Drosophila melanogaster: one gene and its partner. The protein of the gene in region 2 interacts with the protein of the main gene of each other region in a pairwise test. Each region holds a gene or a part of one and is shown on either strand. Other genes may lie near its edges.

Region 1 (3,758 bases), on a different chromosome or scaffold from region 2:
GTCTTGAGGGCGGCGAAGTTGGCATTTTCGGCTGAACTCTGGATGAAGCGCGACTCCAAACGGCAACAATGTGGGAGGACAGTTGAAACGGGCGGGCAAAATTTACATTAATGTGCTTCTCGTGGTGTAACAATTTTCTCATGTAACAAATTTACTGCCTAGAAATGCGTATTTAATATTTTTTAGTCAGCTCTTTAGTCCAGTCCAAGCGGAGTCCTCCACGGAGCTGCTCAACACAATTGGGCGAGTAACAGCGAATTGGGTGGGTGCAGCCGAAATATTATGAAAATTATTTATATTTATGACAATATTTAGTGGTGACAACAGTGCCTTGCAATTCGAATATTGCTGCGCTCTTCTTGGGAGCAGCCAGCTTGTGGGACGCCCCTGGACTGGATTGGTTTATGTGGAAATTCAGCCTTCAGCCGCTCAGTACTCAGTTCGATTCGGGCTTGACATTGCGTCGCAGGATTGCCGCTGCGAGGTCCTGCTTCATGGCCGCCTGCTGGCGCTGATCGGCCAGTGATTGTGTGCTCCTTAGTCCGTTCACGATGTCCTTGGTCTTGCCAAAGTAGATCTCGTTCAGGGTGTTCCTGATCTTGTTCTCCATCTCCTCGACCATCTTGCCAATGTTGGCGATGTGCGGCGACGACTCGCTGACGTTGGCGTCCTGCTCCTGCTGCCGGGTGAGGGATCCGCCCAGATTCATGGTTCCCGAACCCTGTTTGTTGGTCTGCAGCCAGAGCATTGCCGTGGAGGTGAGCTTGTAGTGGGCCGTCCTGCCGGTGGTCTTCTCCTGTACCTCGACCACATGGATGGAGTCCCAGCAGCCGCGGATCATCTTGCTGCCATCTCCCGCCTTTTTGATCAGTATAACGGCGGCAAACCCGTGATCCAGATCCCATAGGTAGACGGAGGAGACGCCTCCCTCGTAGTACATCTCCCTGTACTGATCGAAGGCATAGTTCGCCTCGATTTCCAGTTTGCGCAGTCGTTCCGAGGGCATTTGGCCATCCTCCAGCGGCGGATAGTAGGAGTTCGACCAGGGCGATCTGTAGGAGTCCCCATCCCGGTTATAGTCGCACAGCAGATAGTCCTTGCCGTGCTCCTTGTCCTTGGCGATCTTCAGCGGCTGGTCCACGGAGGAGAGCAAGTCCTCGCAGAGATCCGGTGCCAAGTCTATCAGATCAATAAGGTTCTTCTCGATCTGCTGGGGCGGCAGCCTCCGCATCAGATCCAAAGCACAGTCCATCTGCATTTCCGACTGAGAAGAGAGGAGAAGAGACACCAGTGAAATTGAATTTGAGTCACTGCACCACCGCCGATAAGAGAGCCCAAAAAATCCCTCCGCTTTCCACTGCCACCCGGCAAACCAGGGATTACCATATATGGGCATTATTTGAGGCCACAGGCCGCCGCCCCTCTGGAGGTTTTCTCGGTGGATTAGGTGATTGCCAAGAATATTTGGCTTGCAGAATGGGCGGTTCCGACCAAAAACACCGTTTGTTGGCCTGCTTTTTTTTCTTGTTACTATTGTAGTATTACTCACCATTTTGGTACTTTCTGCTTTCCCTTGTTTCGATAGTTTTACACTGTTTATGTTAGGGGCCTGCGTTCGCTGAGCAGGGCCGATCTTAAACTCTAGCTAGGATTTCGGGCTTATATTGCAAGTGATTGCACTAAATTGACTCTTTTTCCTTATTATTAGGATTTTTTATTTTTGCTATGGTGTGCTAGAGCTGGAACACAGCCCGATTATTATGCGATATCGTTCATTTTGGTGGAGCATCGATTGCTCGCTCGATTTGGTATATCGATTTCTTACCCGCTAACTATCTAGCGGAAATATTTGAAAATTAACATAACGAATGGCAGTTACTTACTTACAAAAGGCAATAATTTGCAGTACACTTTATAAAAATAAACTCTGGCACTCAATCCGCCCGAAATAAAACCATGGTCTTACTTTTATTATATTTTAGCAACAAGTTTATTGAATTTAGTTTTCGTTCATATACTTTTATGCTTAATTCCATTCTGGTTGCCCATTTCCTCTCCGTGTTTTGTGAGTTTCTGTTACAATGCGTTTGGTTTGTGTGTGACTGTGGGTTTAGCTTACTCGTAGTTTTTAATATGTTACACAAAAATGTATGGCATAATCGTAAATTTTTATCCGAGTTCGTGTTTAAAATATATTTAAGCTGCTTCGCTTTCGCACTCTTCAGACATACATACATACTTATTTAGAAATCATATGCGTGCTCCGAAAACGTATCCTTCTGAATCGATCCTTGGATTTCTTGATTTTTACATTAATTTTAGCCAAATACGTAGCGTGTGGGATTTTGCCTCGTTAGTAGTAGTAGGTTCAATAAACTTAATTAACCGCTTTGGGCTTAGACTCGCGCTTCAAGTGCGCTCTTTAGGTGTATACTTCGACCATATACGATAAATGTAAAATCTCAGACTTTAATTTTTAACTAAGGTGCACTACATACAGAAATCGTTCAGAGAAATGTGAACTAAATCGAGGGATTTTTTTTCGCAGCTCTGGATTTTTAGCCAGGATAAAAACTGTTACAGGTGACTTGTAAAATTAGGGCAGGTTTCACTAATCTCGAATAACTTAGATAATTATAATTTGTATTTCTTAGTCGTTCTTTTGAAGTTTAATATTTCGGCTAATTAATATTGATTTATTTACTTATGCTCTGTCGCATGCTAGACACTGTGCCAATATTCGAAATCAAAAGCGGTTTCAGATTCAATAATAGTACATAACTCCATTTTCAATCGTATTTCTCGTTTCATCGTTTTTCTTTCGCTCAATAATTATGCAACACTTGCTTATCAACGCTTCTTCGACAATCAAATGTAATCACAGTTTTATGTTTTCCTTCTTTATATAAACTCATTTTCATTTAGCTATTTATTTCACTATTTTCGCATTTCGCGTCGAGTATGTGTGTGTGTGTGTTTCTGTGAGTGTGTTTGTTGTGGCTTGTTCTTCTTGACTTGTGTGGGTGGTAAAACTAAAAATTCTTAGGGCTGGTTTACTACACGCCTAGTCCTCATGTGCTTCAAAAACTCACCTAACCTTCTCTCAATCCTCAATCTTCAATCATCGATCCTCGATCTTCAACCTTTCGGATCCCATGCTTATGAACATCTCAACTCACTGATCCTTGCCATGATCGCATATTAGATTATTAATACTATTACGTATTTAGAAAACTTTAAGAATATTGCACAACTTGTGAAAATGCTGATTCTGACTTCTGACCGACTGCCCGCTCGATTCGTTATAAGTTTTTAAAAATATTTCATTTAATATTTAATACCTGAGTTGTTCATAATCGTTTCGCATGATTATTACATCCGTTTTGCGGTTGCTTTCATAATTTTTTTTTTTTTTATCGTAATACATATCGAAAAAGTTTCTGTTTTTCTTCTCATTATTTATTTTTTTTTTTTGTTTGTATTAAATGCATGTATACATCGTCGTGAGTCTTGATAATGCCCTGAGTTTGCTCCAAACGGATTTGCGTTTTTTTAAAACTATTTTTTTTTTTGTTTTTCGTTTAACCTTATGCACGTAAAGTACTTCTCATTCCGAAATTCCCTCGCAAGTGGACCGTTGTCGTCTTTTTTGAATTCAAGTGGTTAAAATTTCGTTTGGGTAATTCGAAAACTTTTCAGTTCAGAACAAAGTAAATCGAATAGTTCATGTGTAACTCAAGTTCTGTTGCATTCATTCT
Region 2 (3,758 bases):
ATCATCCTAATGCCGAGAAGGCTAAGCGCGCCCTGGACGGATCGATGCGAATGGTGTACGATTCGCACCGAATGTCATTTTGCAGGTGAGAAATCTCACACCGTTCGTTTCCAACGAGCTGCTGTACAAGTCCTTCGAAATCTTTGGTCCCATCGAGAGGGCCAGCATCACCGTCGACGATTCTGGCAAGCATATGGGCGAGGGCATAGTTGAGTTTGCTAAGAAGTCATCGGCCAGCGCCTGCCTGCGGATGTGCAATGAGAAGTGCTTCTTCCTGACTGCTTCCCTTCGACCGTGTCTGGTCGATCCGATGTCTGATCCGATCAAAATGCCAACACCATTTTAACAATTTGCATATTTGATGCCCGATAAATCGAAATGTAAAAATTGATCCTTTGCACAAATTAAAACGAATCCATTCCGCTTTGCGTGTTCCTCAAACAATTTCTTAATAACTAATGCTATTTTATACATTCACAAAGTATTTGATTCGCATTGAAGTGGTAATTTCTGTGCAAGGGCATTTCTTTTAACTGCTTATTGGATTGTAAGAATATCATTTTTACTTTTTAAATTAAATATTAATGAATTTATCCCTTTTCAGGCAAACAGTGAGAGTCTGAAGCCAATAACCAAACTTTGTAAAAAGTGCCTGTGCATTCCGGCCAGTTCAACAGAATATGAAAGAATATGTCTTATTATGAATATAAAAAACCATTATTTTGTTATTACTAAATATTTTGAATACTGCGTTAATTCAAATAATAGTTTGCATTGAAGCAAATAAAGCGTTTTTGTTTAAAAATGCATTTTAATTCCTGTGCATGTATTTCTGCATTTTTCTAAAGGGCTACTGTAATATATATTTTTTAATTTGCAAGGGTATATAAACATCGGTTCACGTTAAATTATAGTTCCTTTATTTTTGTTTTCTTTTTAACTATCCATACTATCGATGTTTTCTTAAAAAACCATCGATAGTGCCGACCATCGATGATTCTCCAGCTCTATTCTCGCGCGCACTTTAAAGTCAGCCAAATAATATACAATTAATTCTATCGATATTAGTGTCACCTAGTATTTTATATTTATACACAGCTTACACTTAGTGTTTTATATTTATACACGGCTTTTATCTTATCGCAGAAACATTTTTTTTTAATAATCAAGGCTTGTTATCTTCTAATGAACCCCTTTTAAGAAATTACATTCGCTTGCGTAATACCAACTTTTTTAACAAATGTAAGTCAAATGTTTCAATCATAAAGTAAAAGAACAAATAAAATTTAACAAATGAAACTTTTGGCTGACTGACTTAAACAGGGGGAAATTTAAAACTTTTAAAACCTATAACATATTAACGAAGAAAAATATAAGGATCTGCATTTATTGTTTATATTGACAATAATGATTTATTAACTTCGTGTATTTTTACAAATATTATTTTTTCCTCATATATCAGGGAGTTTGCAGTAGTGCAATGACCTTTTATTTTTAGAAGTACCGGGTCACTAGCCGAGTCGATATGGCCATATATGGTCCGTATAGATATCGAAATCTAAGGAACTAGTAAAGCTAGAAATTTGAGGTCTATAGATATACGTAGACGCTGCGCAACATTGTTAACTGATGGTGTTACGCTTACACATAAGGATAATGTTCTGACATATATTAAGTTTTTTTTATCAGTTTTGTTAATTTCTATCAATATGACAAAAAACTTTTGCCACGCGCACAATGCGCCCAAAACTACAGCGACCAAACTAGATATTTAGATTTTTCAATTATATTTCAGTCTCGTAAATGAATATCGTTTTGCTAATAAATGCTTAGAACGCCAACAATACCACAAAAAAATGTTTTATCTCTCTTGTCAATTTCTATCAGTATAAACACCTTTTGGCAACGCCACATTATACGGCCACTAACTGGTCAAAACACATCCACACATTTGAAAAAAATAAATTTGTTCTTATATTATTTGCTATTTTCCCAATTTCTTTTGATCTGAGTAACGGGTAACTGATAGTCATCGAACTCGACTAAAGCGATGCAAATAGTCGTTCCTGGTAGCTCGACGTTCATAGAGACGGACAGACGGATCCACTCGTCTATTAATTCTGATCAAGAATATATATGGTCGGAAACGTTTCCTTCTGTCTGTTACGTACTTTTACTCTAGGAGTAACGGGTATAACTATGAAGGACTAGTCTGGACGGGTCTTAAAGCATGACGCACGTCTTATAATTGTTTTAATTTGGTCTTTTTTTGTAGCGTTACTGCTAGTGTTGCTGTATTAACCTCATAAATATCCTCAGTATCAAAACGTCTTAATAAATTCATATGTAAATATGAGTCAAACATTGATCCGTCGTCTCTTCAATCAAGCTTGTAGCAGAAATATTTTTATTTTGAACCAAAGCTTGTTATCTTCACATGAACCCATTTTACCAGGTTACATTGGTTTACGTAATACCAGCTTCTTTAACAAATGTAAGTAAAATGTTTTAATTCAATAAAAGAGCAGAAATGTTTCTATCTGCCATTGGATAAAAATGGTTCTAGGTAGTAGTAATGGTGCAAATAAAATGAAACAAGGAATTCTTTTTCTGGCTGATTTACAGTGAAATACAGTGGGTCAGAAATTATTTCCACGAGGTGTAATTTGAATCTTTCAAAGCCTTTAAAAGAAAAATGTCAGAATCATTATGTATTTTTTATTTAAACAACAATGATTTATTATTTTCGTGTATTTTTACAAATATTATTTTTTCCTCATATTTAAAGGACTTTGCAGTAATAATGACCCTTCGTATTTAGAAGTATCGGGTCACTAGCCGAGTCGATATGGCCATGGACAAAAAACTTTTTCCACGCTTACAATCCGCCCAAAACTACTGCGACCATACTTTTGAAAAATATTTACAGTTTTTCTTTATATTTCAGTCTTGAAAATGTCTCTGTATTTTCTTATAAATATTTGAAAACCCCACAAAAAACGTATTATTTGACTTGCAAATTTTTTCTCGGTATAAAAAAAACCTTTTGGCCATGCTCCTTTAACGCCCACTTACCGGCCAAAACTTTAAATTTGTTTTCATTTTATTTGTCATTTTCTCAATTTTTTGAGATGTCTGAATATGTTGAAATTTCTAGTTTGCACTTTCACTAGCCAAAGACACTAGAATAACAAGATAAGTAACGCTCATACATTGGTTTGGCACTATGCAGCCACTTTTTTAGTGACGGTTTAATTTGCTCTCTGTCCGCTTGCTTACGCTGAGAGCGTAAGAAATCTAAAAATAGAATTTGCTTGCTTGTGCGCACTTTTTAAATATATCAAATTGGAATAGACAAAAAAAACTGAAACTGAACAACCGAATCTATTAAAAATGGATAATTTACATACATCATATTCATATTAAGTCAAATGACTTCATAAATATACTTAATAATTAAAGCAAATACAAAGGAAATTATTATAACTACTGTAACTAGTTAAATGTTAAATTTTCCAAAAAGAAGACATAAGAGAAATAAATATTTCATAAAAATAATACGTTGTAGAAAATAAAAATTTATAAAATAAACTGTTTATTGCAAGTCATATCTTGAGGCACGAAGTGCGGACACAAGCACTCAACAATCATTGTCGCATGCTGAACACTCTATTGACAAAAATTCGAATAAAAAGTAATTTTTGAAATTTATTTTGTGATATTATGATTCGGCTATTACTATTTCTAAGCTATATTTA

The links. Proteins that work in one complex are often made in the same cells at the same time.
Region 1: the proteins of mRpS5 (region 2) and cpb interact in a two-hybrid assay, tested with the Drosophila melanogaster proteins (one large-scale study listed by BioGRID).

What each region holds. Positions count from the first base shown.
Region 1 is NT_033779.5:1,702,906-1,706,663, reverse strand, and holds the start of cpb (capping protein beta), read right to left. Parts: upstream 1,763-3,758; 5' UTR 1,553-1,762; coding exon 1,550-1,552; intron 1,534-1,549; exon of another isoform or gene 1,387-1,533; coding exon of another isoform or gene 1,384-1,386; intron 1,265-1,383; coding exon 437-1,264; 3' UTR 1-436. UniProt on the Drosophila melanogaster protein: F-actin-capping proteins bind in a Ca(2+)-independent manner to the fast growing ends of actin filaments (barbed end) thereby blocking the exchange of subunits at these ends.
Region 2 is NT_037436.4:24,535,123-24,538,880, forward strand, and holds the start of mRpS5 (mitochondrial ribosomal protein S5), read left to right. Parts: upstream 1-2,113; 5' UTR 2,114-2,191; intron 2,192-2,240; exon of another isoform or gene 2,241-2,275; 5' UTR 2,276-2,352; coding exon 2,353-2,494; intron 2,495-2,788; coding exon of another isoform or gene 2,789-2,790; exon of another isoform or gene 2,791-3,013; intron 3,014-3,758.